2 linked regions of the Drosophila melanogaster genome follow. The protein of the gene in region 2 purifies or fractionates together with the protein of the main gene of each other region. This does not show direct contact. Each region holds a gene or a part of one and is shown on either strand. Other genes may lie near its edges. The genes, in order: GAPcenA and CG1513.

Region 1 (11,499 bases), on a different chromosome or scaffold from region 2:
GCTTCTGATGGCTCTGGGTTTATTGGATTTGCCAGCGAAATGGCCACAGTTGTGTTCTAACACTTGGCGGCACCAGACCGAGACGGTTCAAGCGGAAGGGGCTCAGGATCCTGTTAGAAGGACGAAACTATCGATGCTAGCCGAAGCATTGGGCTATGGCTACCTGCTGGCCTACGTGATCTGCCTGCTCTGCTGGCCAGGAGAGGCGTATCCCGCCAGCAGTAGCTACCGGGATCTGGATATATGCAATCATTGGGACGGAAGACGTCACTTCCTGGAACTGGGAAGTCCAGCTGGAGAGGTGCACGCCAGGAATGTGACTACTACTGCCTATAGAGTAAGTGTATTTACAAGCTTCTCCAGACGGGATTTGGTCAGCAATTATGAACTTAAAAACAGAGCTCGCCGCTGGTTTTTAAGAACGATGCAGTGGCCGGGGATGTGTGGTACCAGTGCAGCCTGGAGCTGGTCACCTGTGCCGAGTGCGTCATCCGAGTGGCCTTCACCTATGCCAACTTCTCCAAAAGTTGCGGCAATACGGGTGGCAAGTCCAGCATGTGTCCCTGCGAGCATATCCAGTTCTCGGAGCCGCCCTATGATTCCACCATTTCCGGCCAAGAGTTCTGTGGAGATGGCAAGGTGTTTCGGAGCAAAACCAGGACACTGCAGTTGAAATTCTTCTACAGAGCCAGCAATGCGCACGTGTTCTCCCTTCAATACTTCTCGGAACGTAAGATTTAGAATCAGTTGGTAGGTTTTTAAGAATGCTCTATCCGGATTTCCCTCGGAATAGGCAACGTGCGGATAGTCAGTGGCTCCCCCAAGCAGTCTATTGTGGGCAATGGGAGTACAAAGTCCCAGCCACAAGTGATCTCCACGCCGTATTTCCCGATGGCATATCCACGCGACTATGGTATCGAACACATCCTCACCTGCGAGGCGGACAACTGCCAGGTGCGTTTGGATTTTACCGACTTCCAGCTGGGCCTCACCTCCACCCTAGAGATCTTCGACTCCAATGGCCAGATGCTGGACTCCTATACGGGTGAGCACTTCCGTCCGCCGATCACGGTGAGCAGCGGCAAGTCTCTGCTCCTGCAGTTTCGAGGAAATTCCGCCACCGGAGTGGGTTTTCGCGCGGAGGTTAGCTTCGTATCCTCCAAGCAGCTCAAGGACGAGCGACTGGTGCCCTACACAGGTAAGTGAATGGGTTGCAGTGCACTGAACAAAAACTAAGACTATCAAACAACTCAGATCTAAGGTTAAAACACAAATATTCCGCAGGATTAAAAAATTCGAGGTTTTTAAAAGTATAGAACATTATGCTTATCTTCATTTTAGAACTCGCAGATTGATTAACTTTTTAAATGGATTAGTATATCTTTTCTCTGTAGGAATAGGGACATTTTAATGATTTTCGGATTAGTCGAGCACTTGAAAGTCTGCAGGCAATTGTCATATTGATTTTGGCGAAGGTAGTGGGTGGGGTGGGCACTTGGCGAATATCAATGTCAATGCAAGGCGTTGAAGTGGAAACTGGGTGACTCTGGTTGGGTTCGGTTTGGTAAGACAATCGATTTCTTGGATCATTGCCCGTAGGGTGGTTGGCAAATACTTGTATATAATCCGGAATGGGGTTGGTTATGCACTATTGCGACAGGTTGGATCACAATGCATGATGCAAGAGCACATAAATAAATGCTTATGTACATATCTCTATTACACCTCTAGATTGCGGGGGAATGGTTACCGGACCTGGTGGCGCCATCACCATGATGAACATGATCGAAAATGCCACGGACGTGCGGCTGTTTGACTGCATCTGGATTATAAAGCCCGGCAACAACTACATGATGATGAAAACCCACATCTCGTTGAGAGTGGATGACTTCTACGGCATGGCCGCCAGATCTGAGCTCACAATACGGCAGGGCACCACCTCGGATGCCGTGGAGATCGAGAATGTGATGTGGCCGAACAATGGGCTGAGCAAGGAGAGTCATGTGGCGCCCATCCTCAATGGCTACTACATTCGACTGCGTGGGGTATTCGGGATGTCCTCCAAGCTGGCCATCGTCTACAGCGTGTTCAACTACTTGAGTGAGTTCGATTGGAAAATTTAAATTTAATGTTTAATTAACCAATTCGAATTGCTTAGATTGCTATATTGGCTCGGAGTTTCTGTGCGGGAACAATCACTGCATATCCATTCGCCTCCACTGCGATGGCTTCGACCATTGTGGGGATGGCAGCGATGAGCCGGATTCCTGCGAGGAGGACTGGGCACACCTGCATCACGATCGTCGCTGGTACTCTCACAAGCCCAACTATTATTTCCCCAAGATAGACCAGTATCCAGATCTTAAGACGGCCACGGGAATCTTTATCATCAGCACACTTGGCATATTTGGTGTGCTGTCCGGCTGGATGGTGATCCTGTACAGGATGGGGGTTAGAGCACGACACCAACGTGAGCTTCAAAGCCACCTGCAGACGATCAGTGAGCTGTTGGATCGCCAGGACGAGGATCGCACGCCCGATGAGCCACCCAGCTACGAGGCACCACCCGATTACGAGGAGGTCATCAAGGTAGGAATGCAACAGGAGCTACGGGAGCCACGTCGCCAGAGACGGGCCCGTCGAGCTCCGCCTAGAGATCGGAGCTGCAGTCGCGCCGCAAGCAATTGCACCGTGCAATCGGTACTCCCACTGCATCGCAGCTGCACCCTGGAAAGGGATCAAGAACAGCCCAGTACCTCGGCGGCGGCAATGACCCATGCGGTGGCTGCCACGGATACAACGGAGGATGCCGAACACGTCCAGACGATGGCCCAGCGAATGCTCCTCGCCACGGCTATTTGTGGTAGGTCGAGAGTTCCCCCAATCCCGCCCTGCAGTCGCTAACTTACCCACAGAGTCCCACTTGCAGGCACTGCAGGCACGTCTCTCCCGGCAGCAAAGGAGTCAGGGCAGCGGGTCCAATCCGTGGGGATTTCAACGAGCCCGTCATCGTTATCCGCTGGGGGTGAACTACCCACAGCAGGTGGGTCAGCCACAACGCCCGGCAGCACGGCAGATGAGTGCACCCAGGGAGGCGACTCACTTAGCATTTCACTCACTCTAGGCTTGCCCTCCACCACGGCAGAGAGTCCTGTGACAACCGACCAGAACCAATTGCAGAAACAAAGTCCGGAGCAGACAATCAGCAATTGCACGGAGCACACCTTCCTAAAGAGATCGTGGTTGGTGGTGCAACAGGTTCCACCTGGCAGGGGTTACCGTGTCCGGAGGCTGCGACATACCTTCTCCTCTCCTGAAGCATTCACTAGCGATGAGCTGCATCTGCCGTACCCGGATTTCCTGAGCTACGGCACTAATCTTCCACATGAACGGAGCAGTAGTAATTTCGGATCCGAGTTGTCGAGGGACCCATCGAGTTATAGTGTGGGCAAACGAGCTCGCTTGACGCCCGAGGACACAAGTGGATCGGAGACCATTACCCAGGAGATGGAGCAATCCAACCAGACACTCCAGTCCCATGTGATAGTGGAAAGTCACCCGAATCACAGCGAAAGTGAGAGCGAAGCGGAGCAGCAGGTGTCCTGCTTTGGAGCCGTAGCCCAGCGGCCCAAGAGGCGTCATCGGGGTCATGTGAGGAGCCGATCCTTTAGCAATGCCAGAGGTGGCAGTGCCGGAAGGAGGCGTCTCATGCAGCGCAGCTCGTCGGCCGATCTTTTGATGAACTACGCGACAATGGCGGTATCGACGCCACAAAAAACGAGCGAGGCAATGCAGCGATTGTTCTTCATCTGAGCGGGAGATTCAAAATGGAAGAGTGGACAAGTGGAACGATAGTATTAAAGCCTGGTGTGATTCTGGTCGGATTCTAGTCACATATAAATAAATAAGCCTGTTTCTTACTCGAATGTTATTAGCTTATTGAAATTCTTAATAAATAATTAACTTCAACTTCATCAAGACTTATCCAAAAGGTCGCAACGTTTGTATTCTTTATAATATGTACCATACCGCAAAAAGAAATGAATAATTACATTATGAATTAGCATTTTTTGTTAATTTATTTATTTATAGCCGTTATACGTGTAGCATTTGCCAGAGCAGATCAATATGTGCCCCAGATCAGATCACAAAAAACAACAACGAACATCCATCGCCCAAGATTCACTTCAACCCACTAATTGATCCGGGGCACATCCTGACCAGCACTGACTTTCGGGTGCCTCAAAGTGCAAAATAATAAAAATCTATTACTCGCGTATATATGGAAATCAAAATGCACGTTTTTATATGTATATATAGACGAATATGATAAATAATACCAGACGTAGTCAATGCCGTAGGTCTGCCTGCTATCCAGATCCTCCTACGTTGTAGCTGTATCGTTTCCTACTGCTGCAGCTGTTGCTTGAGATTCTCGGCTAGCGTTTTGCCAGTGTCCAGGGGCACTACTATATTGCGCAGACTATCGATGCTGTTGCGCAGCTTGGTGGCCTGGAATTTGCTGGGCAACTTCGGTGACCCTCCCACCGACGCAAATGCAAAGGTCTTGTACTCCTGGGCAGCCATTCGAGGGACCAAAAGATTCAAATTCAGTATGTTATATACACGGGGTTTTATTTGCAACGCAAAATATCAATAAAATCATAAGCAACCCGGGTTTTAGGGTACTAACAGAAACAGCAGAGGGGTTCAATGCCTGCATAGAGTCGACTAAATAAAGATTCTCAATGTGTGTCATGGTGTGAGGTTAAGCGCGTAATTAAATTAATCAATGATAAGTAATGGGTATTAATAAAGTATTTCGAAAACATTCCTGGAGCTCAGCTCGTGGGCTGATAACCCATATCTTAATCATAGAAATAATACATAAAAAACTTAAAAATAATAAACTGAAGATCTTTCAGTCATAACAGTTGGCCGGATCACTGGACTCTAGGTTACCTGATTGCCGCTGGGGGAGCTGGCCTCGCTTAGGGTAGTTGGCGCCTGGCCCATGTAGGATTGGAATGAGGGCATCGGTCCGCCACTACCATTATCCCGATGGCCGCCTCGCGTGGTTACCTTCTCCTGCAGCGAATTGAAGGTCTTCGATAGCCAGGGCTGCCAGCTGTTGCGGTTGGTTTGCAGCTCACTGAGCGTATTGCTGAGCTGATGGTTCAGGTCCTGGTTCTTGCACTCGGCTTCCACTTGAGCTAGCTTGGCCTGGGCCAGCTCCAGCTCTAGTTCGCGGATGCGTTGCGAGGCAGCGTTTAGCGGATCAAGTGGACCCAGTGGATGCTCATTGGCATTCCGCATGGCATCGGTTTGCCCCCTGTTCTTGCCGTCATCTGACTTAGCGTTGTCATTGCCGGCGTCGATCTGCTGCTGACAATCCTGGCAATTGGAAACCATGTGCTGAAAGAGAGTTGAAAAATGAATATCCCGTCAAATTCATATTACAATACAATACTCACCATCACTTTTCCTAGAGTCTCGCTTAGTGTGTTCATGTCCTGCTCTTGGCGCTGGATGATCTGCTTGTATTCCTGTATAATGCCTGTGTGCTTCTTCTCCTTCTCAACAGCTCGCTCCTTGGCGGAAGTCAGTTGTTTGTTCAATGCGTCGATTTCCGCCTGCATTTTGCGCCTCTCCTCGCCGAAACGATTCTCGTAAATCTGTGCCTCCTTCTCCAGGCGCTCCTTGTGCTGCTTCTTCAGCAGGAACTCCTCCTCGTACTGCTTCAGTTTTTTTATCTTACGTTCGCAGGCTTGCTTCATCACCTTGCGTGCCTGACTGGAGCTGCGGCACTTTTTCGGCAACGTTACCCGGAAATACTTTAGAATGCCCTCAAAATCGAGTTGCCGCAAGTCGGATTCACAGATTGATAAGAGAGTAACGGCCACCTGGAAGAGCACAGGTAGTCCGTCCAGTAGAAACACATCCAGCACGTGGAACACAAAACACAATGGGAATCGCGCTGTATATAAGGTTAGGAACCATTGGGAGGCGTACATGTGCGTCTCAATGCCGCAGGCCGTGAAGTGTTCGTGCAGCTTGGGCAGCTGATCCTTGATCAGTCGCTCCAGTTGGTAGAGACGAAGGTAAAGGACCTCGAATCCGGCTTTGTAGAGATCACGGAGCCCATAGTCGTACATAAGCGCTACCAGAACACAGAACGCATCCTCCTCAGGCATCTGAAAATGTGTGTGTAAGCAATCATTCTTAGATGTAGATTGTCATCATCATTACTTACATGAAGGAGCAGACTAGCTGCTATGAAACTTAGACCCTGACAATATCCAACCTCGCTGTCATGAACGGCATACGCTTTGGACACCTTAAAAAGTGCATCTTGGCCAGAACCGCCAATTTCTTTGAAGCATTTGTGCGCCGGGAAAGTGCGATGGATGTCCCGCTGGATAACGGTCTCACATTTGGTTTCCTACAAGTAAATTTCCAATTAATTTCTTTTCACATGGATAGCGTCTATACTCACTTTGGTGATTAAGATCTTGTACTTGTCGTTCATTTCCATTCTGCCCTCGACGTTGGCTAGCTTCTGCCAGATCTTTTCACGCAGTGCTTCTGGAACGCCGAGGCGTACTAAAGGTGCCAGATTTTTCGGTCTCTTCTCGGAATCCCACTCACGCAGAATGGGATCCCATTCGTCGAGCGTGTCCTGCGAGCAATCCTTAGATACCTCACCAGTGCCACTCAGCAGCGGCTCATCCCCATCGCTGCTGTAGTCCGAGGGACAATCATCCTCAATCGAGGCAATGGACGAACTGCGCACAATGCGCGATAGATTATTCATACCCATCTTGAGCAGGGAAGAGCTTTGCTGGTGGCCCGGCTGCTCCGTTATTTCCTCAGAGGGATCAATGCTATTCACTTTCCAGTTGGACTCTTCGGTCCGCTTTAGATGCAAATAGAATCGTAACGTCATGGGTCGCTTTGACATAAAATGGTCCATAATACGCATTTCGCTGGCCGACTGAATGGTCACTGGGGTCTCAATGACGAACCTAACCGGTTCCTGTATACGTCGCATCACAATGTCTACGGCCACAGTGAGATTGGTCTTTGACGACTCAAGATTTAACTGCTCAAAGGCCTTTTCCTGGGCTTTCCACTCAGCTCGAATTGTATAGGGCCAGGAGGAGCTCTGCTGGGCATTGCTGTCCGATTCGGTTGCTACTCCTGTTCCGCCGGGCTGAATGTAACCCATGCTGTGCATGTCGATCAAATGCATATCCTTTTGGACTACTAGTTTTCCGGGTGCCACTAGAACACCGAAACATCGTTCGATATGCAATGGTTGAAGAACATTTGACGGAGTCTGTTTGACTGTGATGCACACTTCCTTATCTGTGTTCGCCCTTAGCTTAAAGCATCCCCTATCGCGAGGCACTGCGGCATAGGAGTTCTTTGCCACTCGCTCACGGATCTCTAAGGAGACTATGAACTCATACCCAGCCGTGTTTAAAGGATTTCCGCTTACATCGGAGGTTACCGAGTTGGCCATGTCAACGGCCGAATTAAGGCTGCAACTCATGCTGGGCGGATAAGTCTGGAATGCCTTCTGGAAGCAGGCTGCGGGCGAAGATTTTGAATAAATCGGTGGGATGAAATCACTGTATGATCTGACTCACCGCTGACTTGATTAACCGCTTCGGGAATATGGCACCGAAACACATGGCACTGAAACAATGCATCGCCGTGAAGCCAAGTGAATGCAAAGCATCCGTTTTCCACCGTATCCACTGGTCCTCGATAGTACAAGATAATGCTGGATATCTCATAGGTGGCAATAATAGTATTGCTCTCGGCATCGTGGAGGCTGTAATAGCAGCATGATGACGCTCAGTGAGTAATTCAAGGGGCAGTAAAAACTTTACTCACACAACCAGGCCTTCTGAGCAATTGGGTATGCTCACAGTGATCTTCAGGCCCACCGACTTTGAGCCACTATTTAGCTCGCCCATGATGCGATAAACCTCCGTCTCGGATTTTGGGGCATTAATGTTGGCTGCGCCCAGGTAGGTGACTCCGGAAAATATGGTGCAGCCCTGATCGATTTCAGAAACTGAAAGTGAAAAACACATGGTCAATTAAATTTCAATAATTACACTAAACATAGATTTCAGCTTTAGGAGCCTAGGAACACAATATAGAACAAATAATAAAGAACTCTGTGAGTATATAGGCTTTCGTAAAATGAACAGAATTTATAGGCAAATGTACCCCTTAATTTTTGGGATTTTAACTAACTTAAGAGATCTACTCACCCTCCTCGTCGGTGGTGTCGCCCTTCTCCGGCTTCATGGCATCCTGTTTTTCCTCCACGCAGGCGGGGCTAGCGTCTATGCAGTCATAGAACACTGAATGACCCACTCTGTTTGAGCTGGATGCATCGTCGAGGGTCTCCTCGCTTTTGGGCGTGAACAAGGTGCAGGGGAAACGCATCTCGGGATCGACAGATCCCCCGCCGGAGCCCGTGAGCGGTAGGGTCAGGGACTTTTGCTGATGACTCGGGAGACGTTGCGCTGACTTCTCCCCACTGGCAGCTGCAAATATGTTAATTGTCAATTACGCGACGAGCAATAACAAATGCCGAATTATGCGGAATTTTGTTTAAGGAAAGTATTATTATTCGGTTTGTTTGTCGTTGTTTCCATGACAGCGTAGCACTACGGCTCTGCGCCGATAAGATTGCAGCTGGTTAGGCTTAGCAATCGTTTGATGTTTCCAATAGTGGAGCGACCGCGACGTTGTGTGCACAGCTGGCGTTGGGCAACGACTGAGTTTACTTTAGGCTACCCAGGGCAACCCAATTCACCCTCTCAGTTGTGTTTCTTTACTCACCTACGCCGCGTTCCAACTCCAGATCTTTGAGGGCGTCCGTCATCTCGTGCTGCATGTCGCTTAGGTTGCGATTGTGGGCCATGTCCAGAGTGGGCGAGCGATCTCCCCCAGCCTCGGGGGAGGACAGAGCCAGAGCACTCAGCGAAGTGGGCGGTTTGCCACCCACTTCAGGCTGAGTTCCCTCCTGGTTGACAACCTGCTTCACCTGCTCCATGGGACTGGCCACATTGCTGTCGGTAACTATTTCGTACTCCCCGCTGGTTGTTATCGAGGATTCCGAGGACTTGGTGCTCAGATTATCATCCATTCCGAACACTCAAGGTTGCCTCAGTTCCAGGCACTCCCAAATGGGTTACTCTTTGTTGTGTGTGTGATATATTCGGACTTTCTTTATTCTTAAGCCCTACGAATTGCGCATTTTCAGGGCAGGTAAACAAATCAATTTCTGTTCCAAGGCCACGCACTCGTACTCGCACTCGCTTTTAATAGATTTCGTTTTCAATTTGTCCAATTTTCAGCGGAGTCGCATTGTTTGGCTTGGTTCCGCCGTAAATCGATGACGAATCGGTACGGTTTGCTTGGCGTTTTGGGGGCGTACACACACGCGCATGTATGTCACACAGTGCCCAATTCGCGTGGGAACTGGAGGGGTTGGGCCTTCAAGGGGGTGGTGGACGGTGGGGTCGGCGGGGTCAACAGTTTGTCTCTGTAGCCTCTGCGCTTGGATTCCTATGGATTTTTTTGTTATTTTAGTGCGTGCAGCTGCTTTGAGCTTACACTTTGGTTTTTATATTATAGCCTACACTCCGCAGAACTGTAGTACATTGTTTTGACCCTTTATTGTTGTGTTTTTATCGGGTTTTTAGCAATTTTCTTGCAATTTTCCGTCTGTTTTGTTTACATATTTTTTTGCTAGTGATGACCTGCAGTAGGTCGATTCCTATCGAAAGGAAACAGCTGCTTTAACGTTATTCAATACTTCTTTTGAAAGTGTTAATAAGTGTACCTATCGACTTAATCGACTAGTTATTTTCTTTTCTATGCATATTGCCATATGCTTATATGGCAATCTAAATAATCCAATAGCATTACAAAGTTGTCTTTGACTGAAATGACTTGTCTTGAATAAATTTAAATAAATATAAATAAATTTTTAAATTGTAATTCAAAGAACCAAATCTATAAAGGTATGTGATGTATGGAAAATATTGAGAACATATTAAACATATAGTACATATCGAAAAAGTGTCATCGCCGTGACATAATACCCCGCCAGTGTTGCCAAATACTCTGCTACACAACACTACCGCGCGTGCTGGAAAAAAACGTGCGCGTTTATTCGTTGCATTTTGTTAAGATAATTCCTTAAGTCCGGGTACTTCTGACTCCGATTCCGACTCCCAAAAGATGTGGCCGCGATTTGGCATTAAGATTGGCAACAGCACGCTTTGCATCGCCCATGTGCGCGCGGATGGCAAGGCGGAGGTGATCGCCAACAAACAGGGCGACCGAGTGTCCCAAGCGTGCCTTCTCTGGGACGGAGCCTCGGAGATCGAATGTGGCCTCACGGCCAAGCAGAAGATGGCCAACCGTCCGCGCCAGGCGGTGGCGCACAGCTTTCAGTTGCTTCAGCCCAAGGAAGAGCTCACGGAGGAGAAACTGTCCAGTGCGCTGCGTGAAATACCCTGCGACTTTGACAAGGAGGAGCTGGTGTTCCGGATGGAGCACACTGTACCCTCCGACAGGGAGGACCAAGACGATAGAGTTGTGACCAAGGACCTCAGCGCCTATCAGGTGACGGTGGAGCTGCTGCGCGCTGAGCTGGAGCTGGCCCATCAATATCACACGGACGGGGAGCAGGCGCCCATTGCCGTGCTATCCATACCCAGCTACTATCCCGCCTCGGCCTACAAACTGCTAGCAGATGCCGCTCAAACCGCTGGCTTCCATGTGGCCCAGATTATAACCGAACCCACGGCCGCCGTTCTAGGCTATAGCATCGGCGAGGAGCAGACGGAACAGCGCCGCCATGTGCTGACAATCAAATGCGGTGGCTTATATAGCGACATCGCATTCTACTCCGTCCAAAATGGCCTGTTCGTTCAGCTGGCCACTTTCGGACCCTTCCCCATCGGTGGCCGGCAATTCACCGAGGCCTTGGTGCAGTTTATTTGCGAGGAGTTCCGTCGCAAGTACAAGCTAGATCCGCATGAGTCTCGCCGCTCAGTGGCCAAAATACGCACTGCCGCCGCCAATTGCAAACACATCCTGACCACGATGCCTTCCACGCAACTTTATATCGACTCCCTGATGGACGGCGTTGATTACAATGCCCAGATGTCGCGTGCTCGCTTCGAGAGCCTCATACAGCCAGTGATCAATAACCTCATCCAGCAGCTAGGCGAGTGTGTGGAGCAGGCGCAAAAGGAGCATCCCGGGTTGAGTAAAATAGATGACATCGTTCTACTAGGCGCCACAATGCAAATCCCCAAGCTTCAGGCGGCAGTGGGAGCCCGCTTCCCGGATGCCAAGCTCCACAACAGCCATTCGGCGGACGAGGTTGTGGCCATCGGCTGCGCGCGCCAAGCTGTGTGCCTGATTGACCCCCTCGAACAGCAGCTTCACAAGGAGGAG
Region 2 (8,451 bases):
CACTCTTCTCCGGGCTTGTCGTCATTAGAACTAGGCGTCCTTGTGGATGGTATACTTTCATGTTCAGCTATTGGTCTGCTGGAGTCATGACTTATTACTATTATATCTGAAAACAAATATATGTTTAACTTACTTCTCTTCGGTGATATTTTGCGTTTCTCGTACTACATTTCTGGATGACTGCAGACAACTTTCATCGCTTAGGTTTTCTGTGGTACAAGCCACCTGGCAATTTGGATTCTTTGGGGGTAGCTCCTTGTTTTTCGGTGGAAAACTTAACAATTGTCTTATTTTTTTGCTGGGACACGGTTTAAATCGGCACTCGAACTTCTCCCTCATGTCTGGTCCAGAATAGAAGCCCTCGTAGTAGTCCTGAATTACCTCCTCCTTGCTTTTTTCTTTGTACTCATCGCATTTTTGCATCTCATTAACAATATCATCGAGATTGCTCACATGACGTTTGAACATCTCTAAAGAAATGGGATTTGGTGGACAATTTTCTGTTGTTGTTTTAGGAGTGAAAGGTACCTGGGACTTGGATTCGTTTACTGCTTTTGCATTATCTGTTCGATTCATTGTAAAAAGAGCCTTTTCATCAAGTGGCTTAGCTTTTTGTTTTAGCTTAGCCAGCATCTTAGGATTGGGGCAATTGAATTTGTACTTGAATCTTTGACGAACATCATTGCGTGCATAAAATTTATTGTAAAACTGGCGGAAAAATTTTTTGCATTGTGGGTGCGAAGGATCAGAAATTAATTTTGACAGTTGATGTTCGTCTTTAATGTGATTATTTACTAGAATTGCTCGGATAATCTCGTCATAGTTAATATATTGCCGAAAAGTTTCAAGTGATACGGGAAAAATAAAGCGCCCATGTCTAAAAAATTTTTTTTGAAAATTGTTACTTAAAAATTTAAAAAAATGGTAATTTATATTTTTCTTACTTTTTAAGGTCCACTTCAACATCCGTCACAAAGGAAGTCCTAAAATTGTGGTTTTAAAATTATGAAAACAATTCAGGTTACGCTAACTTACTCATATACATCGGTAGAATCTGTGATCTCTTCAGGTTTGGCTGGGGTCTCGTCCGAAGCTCTGGTTTTTGAAGCAGGACTCTCTGGTGTCTTGGACATGGGCACTTCGAAACCTGACGGAGGAATCTCTAACTGGGGCGCTCTATCTGATTGTTCTTCGGCAACCTCCTTGCTCTGATGGGGTTTAACTTGGGGACTTAAGACTTCAGATGACTTCTCAGGGGCTTTCGAACTGTGCAGATGGCGTTCTGGCGAAGCTAATGCCGGCATACATCTGCTTAGTTTGTTGGCATCGTTCCTGAGATTAGCTTGGTTTTCGAAAGTTTCTAAAGTATTATGTGAACTCGATAGCCCTTCAGTCGTGCTAATAGCTCCCGCAGCACAATTCTCTGGCGAAAGAGTAGCTAACTGGGACAGACCTTCACTCGGTTCGTGGGCAACCTCCATGCTGGGACTGGTTTGGATTTGTGAAGAGCCACTGGTATTCTGCGACCCTAATGACCCTTTGCTCTCAGTAATATATGAAGTGTTGGGCCTGCGCGAATCAAGTCCTGGCGAGGGATTAGCTAACTGAGGGAGGCTTTTCCTAAGCTTTTCGGCAATATCTTTGCCGAGAATGGACAGCATGCAGGCCTTGAAAGTCGACGTGCAAGGTTTTAATTTGTATGCGTATTTATATCGGATCCTCGGAGTAATGTAAAACGCCAGGTAATAGTCAAGGGCACATTCCTGGACATCCTTGCTCGCATAATTAGCATCCAGTTGCCTCATTTGCTCCACAATGTCCGATAAGTTTGCCATATTTTTCTTAAATACCTCGAAGCTGACGATGGAACTGTGAAATATTTATAGTAAACAACGAGTATTTGGAAAGTGTCCCAAACTTACTTTTTCGTAAGGGATTTCATTGCAGTAAGCTCCGCCACAGTCTTGACCGCTTTTTTGTCCAGTGGTTTCCCAGATTCAAGCAACTTTTCCAAAGGGATTTCTGTAGTTGCATTGAAGATATTCGTAGGGGATCGCTTTTCTGGATACATGTAAAAGCGGTTGTAGAACCTTTGTAGTGTAAGAAGACGACGCTCATCGTCGGACAAGAGGACCAGGCAGTGTTCTATGCTCCTGACAATTTTTTTGAACAGTAACATCTTATTGATGCACTGTAGGAATACATCAAAGGATACCGGAAAGATGAAGGCGCCACATCTGAAATGAGTCAAAATTGGTTAATCTGCTCTGCTCGAAAATAATATTACCCACCTCTCCACATTAACAATTACGTCTGGAGATTCCGATCCTGATGGTTTACATTCAACTGCAACGCCTTCAACTGCATCATGGGACTTCGCGGTTTCAGCGAGCGTCGTCAACTGGCTGCCTTCAACTAAGACTTCGGGTTGCTCTACTTGAGATGGTCCTGCAGCTGCTACGTTTGCAACATCGTTTTGTGAAATTCCTCCTGGCTCCGGTACTTTAAGCAAGTTGTCGCGTGTCCGCCTGGGACACGGCGCCACCTTGACAGGGAACCTTGCCCGTATGCTGGGATTCCGGTAGAACTCTTTGTAGTACCATCTGCTCCACTCGACCAACGTTCTATTGTCTCCATTGGCAGTTTTCAACTCACTTGCAATTTCAGACAAATTAACGATTAACTTTTGAAATGCCGCAAAGGACACTGGATACATGTTGCTCCTGAAATCAAACAATATTTAATGTTAAGATGTAAAAGATTCACAGTAACCTTACGACTTGTTCTATGCAAGTAACGTTATTTGTTGTTTATCATAAACATCACATTTCAATACCGCGAAATAAACTAGGCTGAATATCACAGTGTGACTGTGCTGCAAAATGACAATATTTATCGATAGCGAACGACTAAATATTTTCACTACGAGAACTCGAACTTACTTAAAATTTTACAAGCCAGTTAATACTTTTGTGCTTTATTGTTTATTGTTTATTTATTTATTGTGCTGATTTAAACAGGGTTATAATTTCATAGCTAGCTAATTTTACATGTTATGATTTTCCAAATGACTCCAAATTTGTAAGGTGTGCTAGGTATAGTAGGTGGTATATTCCAGCGGTCGCCGCACGGTCACACTCGAGCTGCGATTCGGAGGGCTAGAAAATCATCGATGTTTACGTACATCGATAGTTGGCAGGGCTTTGCTTTGTTTTGCAAATTCCAAGCGGAGTTGAGGCTGTGACAGATTGCGGGTGCGAGTTGTGAAGCAACATTGCGTCATCATCAGCTCCTGGACAGAAAAGAGCTCAGGGAACGAGGCAGGTCCGCGCCCGGGGACAAGGAAAGCCTTTAGCCACGAGGACGCAGAGGGATCAAAGGCGGAGGAGGAGGCGGTGGCCGTGTCACGGGAGCTGGATCAAATGGCCAGCACCACTGGAAGTGCCCCCAGCCTGGGACCCCCCCAGAGCGGGAGTGGTGGCTCTGGCACATTGGAGGGCACGCTAAGCAAGTGGACGAATGTGATGAAGGGCTGGCAGTACCGCTTCTTCGTTCTGGACGAGAATGCTGGACTGCTGTCCTATTACACGGTGAGTGGCTGCAGTGCACCTCCTGACTGAAACCCATATCGCACCCAGAACGAACTCCTCATGGCCCGCAGCCTTATCTTATCTGCTATAGATACATTTGGATACACATACACACTTGTTGGTACCCCTTTATTGCGTGATTTGTTGACAGGAGATTACTTTTTTGAGTCTGACTGAGGGGTCTGACTCTTGCGCCGCTGCGAGGCTTGATAGGCACTATTATAGAAGTCGTAAAAGCCGTAGAACATGCCAAGAATGACGGTGGTGAAGTAGAGAAGCACTAAGGGCGGCATGCCGCACAATACCAGCTGGAAAGCAACCTGCGTGAGGATAAGAACGAACTGCGTCATCTGAATCACTGTGATGCACTTCTTCACTGGAGTTAGGGCCTGCACCAAGGTCTTATCCGCCACTGCCGCCACAAAGTAGTACGAGTACATGATAACGTGAACGATAGAATTCAAGAACACGCAGAAGTAAGCAGCAGAACCTGTACAATTGAACGCATTTATGAAAATAGTCGGTCACCCAGCAGCCGGCTAGCTTACCATTTTCGTTGAAGTTGATCAGTGCGTAGACCAGCGTTACCGTGGAGAAGTGATGAAAGATGTGCAGCTTGGACACCTGGTTTTGTTTCTTGCGAAGCACAAAGATCACGGTTTCAATCAGCTCAGAGATCTTCAGCCAGAAGAGAAAGTAGGCCAAGTTGTAGTACCGCCTCACGAGCTCTGGGCTGCTCCCGATGTCGCGGCACTTCCAAAAGATGTATATGGTGTTGTCCGTAATGTACAGGACCTGCGAGAGAAAAGCAATTAGCCGATGCTGCTGCTGCTGTACAATTTATAAATATCCACCTCTTTGATAGCATATATGCAGGAAACCACCTGGATGAAATTATGTAGCAAGATAAGTCGCTTGAGCTCGTAAGGTTTGCGCCATTCCATGAAACTATAAGCGAGGTATTAAAGGTCTTCTTTCTTATATAAGTAAGCCAGCGAACCCGCTGAATTGCTAATGTCAAGTCCACTGACCCACATGCAAACAAGCGACGCTGACATTAGCATGTGAACTTACTGCGGACCCGCTTTGGTGACGAAGTACAGATAGAGGACCAGCACTGTGATCATGTACCAGGGATCCTTATAAATCGTAGGAACGTTCACCACCGGCTGCAAATTTATACCTACAATTTTATTGAAACCATCAGACAGTTTTTTGACAAATCCAAGAGGAGCTCACTTGCTGACGCCTCCATTTCGCTTCTTTGTGTTGAGCTTCCGCTGGCCTGTATCCTTTAGGTGGCGTGGGACTGGTGGACTGCAGCTCTACCGCCTTGACCGCTGGCGAACATTTAAGCGTGAACAGCACGCCGAACACTGTTTTTATATTCCCCAAGCATTGATTAGAATACATTAATTTATAGCAGGCGTAATAGCCCTTTGACAGTATGAGCTGCGATTTAATGAACTTTCCTAATTCCGACTGCATTTCTGTTACAGTCGAAGGATAAGATGATAAAGGGCGTGAGGCGCGGTTGTGTTCGTTTAAAGGATGCGCTAATCGGAATCGACGACCAGGAGGACAACACATTCACAATCACTGTGGACCATAAGACCTTCCACTTTCAGGTAAGTGTCTCCTTAGTAAATGGAAATAAAGATTGTCTAAGGAAAGCTTGATCAATGTTTTGCAGTTTCACTAATAGTTCATAATTCACCGTAATAGTTTAAGTACGACGTTGTTTGTTTTATGAACTGAAGAACCAACTCATTTTAAATTCCACACTTGCATTGATTTTTTATGACGTCTAGTGGTATACGTAAGCAAAAACTATGTAGATCAAGAGGGCAGCACGTTTCTTTTTGCAATTCGCGTTTTCGTCCCAAAAGATATAAAGCAAGCATGATGGCCTATCCGCTTTGCTTGCCAAGAGTTTTCGTCCTCTTACCGGAAAAGGGTATCCGGGCATCGACCCAGAAACCACTGTCTGGTCCTCACGTTCCACCTTTTGTTTGACTTTGTTGCCTTGATGTAACGATAAAACTTTTTCCAATACCCATACACAAGCAAAGGAGCCCACTAAACTTGCCAACTTTCCAAACGCTTGCAGGCGCGACACAACGAGGAGCGGGAGCAGTGGGTGCGCCGCCTGGAGGACACCATTCGACGCCACGCGAACCGGTCGCGTCTGTGGGACAGCCAAAGCGCTTTCTACATCGCCGGTGGCTACACGAAGGAAGGGGGCGGGAGCGGAACAGGCGGCAGAAGACCCAACCACCTGGAGTTGGTGGCGCGCCGTGTTTCCGAGGCAGATGCCTACCTCCAGCTGATGATTGAGCAAACGAACGTGAGTATTGTGCCACGTAATGCAGGCATTATGCAATTTATTGTCATTTTTTCTTGTTCTCTGTCCTGCCCAGTTACTGGACAAACGCATCGCGGAGCTGACCGATCCGGCGGAGCAGTCTAAGTGCAAGGCACTCCAGGACAACGCAAATGTAAGTAAGCAGAGGTTACACGTTTCCCTCGGACTCAGTAACTACAACCTCCAGGTGGAGTTCGTCACGAAAGTTGTTTGAGAGTTTCTCCACTTCGGCGTACGTCAGACGCCAGTAACTTTCGTCGACTGCCATGTAATAGTCCGCGTCCCGGTTATTATTAACCTTTCGAACACCTAAAACACAGCTGGTTCTTAGTGCAACATCTCTTCCATAGAGACTGAGCGTAACGTTCAACTGCAGTCCGTCGCTGGGTGTAACCAGCCAGAGGACGAACTCACTGTTTCTGTGGCTATCTGGTGAACGCCTATTCCGCAGAGCCGTATTGGGCAATGTCTGGGAAATTAGCACCACCAACGGGATGTGACTATCCAGGTGCGAGTGTTGGTTCAGCGGGAAGCTGTTATAGGGCTCACATTGCCGCTGGGATATCAATAACTGTTGTGCATTGTAAGCCAGGAGTCCCAACACCTGATTATCAGGATTCTTACAGCTCGTCGGCTTAAAAGAAAGCACAGCCCGTTCATGTTTCACTACGGGAAGAAAGCGCTGAAAGGAAGCTTCCTTGTTCTCATGATCACATAGGTAGTGCAGCAAAAGCAACTGGCTGTCTATTCGCCTTTGGCAGCCCTCAAAGAGACATTTTTTTACCTCGGACTTTATCAAGAGCTTGTTGGGTATGGTATCTTCGTCCTTCAAAGGGACTTGTCCTTCATCTGGAGGAGCAGCCTCAATGGTACCGAACATCGACTGAGACATTAGCTTTCCCTGATGCAGCTGAACCTTCTGCTGGTCATCCAGCTGTTGCATTCCAATGCGAAGTGTTTCCATATTTTCGTTGAGCTCCTTGATATCCGCTTTCAAATTGAACATGGTGTTCACCTTGTTCTTCAGCTCCAAGTGCGCTTCCTCACGCTTCTTTTTATACTCTTCGAATTGGTCGCACAACTTGTCGGCGCTGTGGATCTTTGGGTCCAGAAACTCCATTGCGGATTAGCTCTAATTGTAGCCTTTAAACCTTAAATGTAATTCGATTTCCTTGAAATGCTGGGAATTTAGAGAATTCGGATACGGGATTGTGTGTTTTTGTTTTCCCAGTGAAGTTTTTGGTTGGAATCGTATATCCAGGCCCACTGGGCCACCCACTCATATCGATTTCCAATGCAAGTTCAGGGTTAAGAGGCGGCCAGATGCAAAAGCCTGAGAGAATGTCAATCGACCGGCAGCTGTCCACCCATGGCAGCTGCTCACTTCGTCTGCAAACTTTGGCAAAGCCAAACCACTTTTTTCACCACTCCCGTTGGCTAATACGTAGTTCTCATTTCAGGCCATGCTGGATCACATTAAGCACTCGATTGTCAGCCTGCAGATTGCCAAAAACATGGCCCACCCAATAAATGGAATCTACAACGGTCCACCGGCCACGGCCTCCACTAGTTCCTCAACCAGTGGAGTTGCCATGGGCAGTTGTAACAACGTCCAGGCAGGTGGCCTTAAGGTGCCGCTAGAAGGTCAAGTAATAGGCAAGGGTGAGCTGGTGGACGACGAGGAAGACTCGGCCACTGAGAACGGTGAGTGCTCTTGGCCAAGCAACTGGTCATCGAGCCAGGGTCAAGCGGTTCGAAATCAATGCGAAAGCTCAATTTGCATTACCCCCGATAATCTGGCATTAATCTTGGCAGCCACCACCGCTCCTTTGGGTTTAATTGTGCCAGCGACCTCATACTCGAGCAGCGAGGGCGAGGAGGACTTCTACGATGCCTACGACGATCCCTTCACCAGCATTGGCAGCTCCCCGATTGGCTGGTAAGTAGACCACTTGTGCAGGTCTTACAAGTAGCAACTAAGACATGCCCTTGACCAAGTGCGCCGACTGGCCATCAATCAGATGCGATGCGGCAGCCGGCAAGCGTGCTATGTTATGTGTGATGTGTGCTGCGTGCTAATATTACGCATTCATTGCCCACAGTCCGGAACCCCCCGCTTCGGCTTTGCTACTCCTCCTTCTCCTTTGGAAAGGCGCATGCGCCTAAGCAGCGCATGCAAAATGCAATGCCCGAAGTTCGTCGCAGTCGTAGTTTCGGGGCAGCCTGTAATTTCTGCCAAGTCGCGTGTAAATAATAAATACAAAACCTTCTCCTCCGCCTCAACGGGCTCCCTTCGAAGCTTTGTTGGCACAGCTGACAACGCTTTGTCGTCGGCGACTCGCTTCGTCATCGACATCCTTCGGCCTAGTCGTAGCTAAAGTCGCCTTTGTGTATGCCTGTCAGTTCTAGTTTCGTTCGTCATCGCCTCGCAGTGTCAAAGAGCTCCTTTGGGTGCAAGTGGCCCCCCTCGGCTCTCCGTTTGATGGTTTTTTTATT

The links.
Region 1: the proteins of CG1513 (region 2) and GAPcenA purify together in Drosophila melanogaster (affinity purification with mass spectrometry, with the first as the bait; one large-scale study listed by BioGRID). This does not show direct contact.

What each region holds. Positions count from the first base shown.
Region 1 is NT_037436.4:8,344,843-8,356,341, reverse strand, and holds GAPcenA (GTPase activating protein and centrosome-associated), read right to left. Parts: upstream 9,782-11,499; 5' UTR 9,173-9,781; coding exon 8,866-9,172; intron 8,802-8,865; exon of another isoform or gene 8,568-8,801; coding exon 8,289-8,567; intron 8,087-8,288; coding exon 7,903-8,086; intron 7,841-7,902; coding exon 7,653-7,840; intron 7,594-7,652; coding exon 6,497-7,593; intron 6,443-6,496; coding exon 6,254-6,442; intron 6,195-6,253; coding exon 5,475-6,194; intron 5,416-5,474; coding exon 4,963-5,415; coding exon of another isoform or gene 4,954-4,962; exon of another isoform or gene 4,618-4,953; intron 4,576-4,617; coding exon 4,408-4,575; 3' UTR 4,063-4,407; downstream 1-4,062. Other genes in the region: Culd (CUB and LDLa domain), read left to right, coding at 134-337, 400-730, 794-1,198, 1,732-2,100, 2,159-2,863, 2,930-3,813; CG7182 (uncharacterized protein), read left to right, coding at 10,273-11,499.
Region 2 is NT_033778.4:9,886,374-9,894,824, reverse strand, and holds the start of CG1513 (uncharacterized protein), read left to right. Parts: upstream 1-3,135; 5' UTR 3,136-3,422; coding exon 3,423-3,590; intron 3,591-3,683; exon of another isoform or gene 3,684-3,745; coding exon of another isoform or gene 3,746-4,080; intron 4,081-4,138; coding exon of another isoform or gene 4,139-4,385; intron 4,386-4,444; coding exon of another isoform or gene 4,445-4,538; intron 4,539-4,664; coding exon of another isoform or gene 4,665-4,773; intron 4,774-4,829; coding exon of another isoform or gene 4,830-4,845; exon of another isoform or gene 4,846-4,947; intron 4,948-5,089; coding exon 5,090-5,218; intron 5,219-5,339; exon of another isoform or gene 5,340-5,700; coding exon 5,701-5,937; exon of another isoform or gene 5,938-6,010; coding exon 6,011-6,088; exon of another isoform or gene 6,089-6,103; coding exon of another isoform or gene 6,104-7,075; exon of another isoform or gene 7,076-7,177; intron 7,178-7,415; coding exon 7,416-7,659; intron 7,660-7,770; coding exon 7,771-7,894; intron 7,895-8,356; exon of another isoform or gene 8,357-8,451. Other genes in the region: tea (telomere ends associated), read right to left, coding at 1-78, 134-877, 945-983, 1,036-1,869, 1,923-2,237, 2,292-2,716; CG30008 (uncharacterized protein), read right to left, coding at 3,746-4,080, 4,139-4,385, 4,445-4,538, 4,665-4,773, 4,830-4,845; CG12923 (uncharacterized protein), read right to left, coding at 6,104-7,075.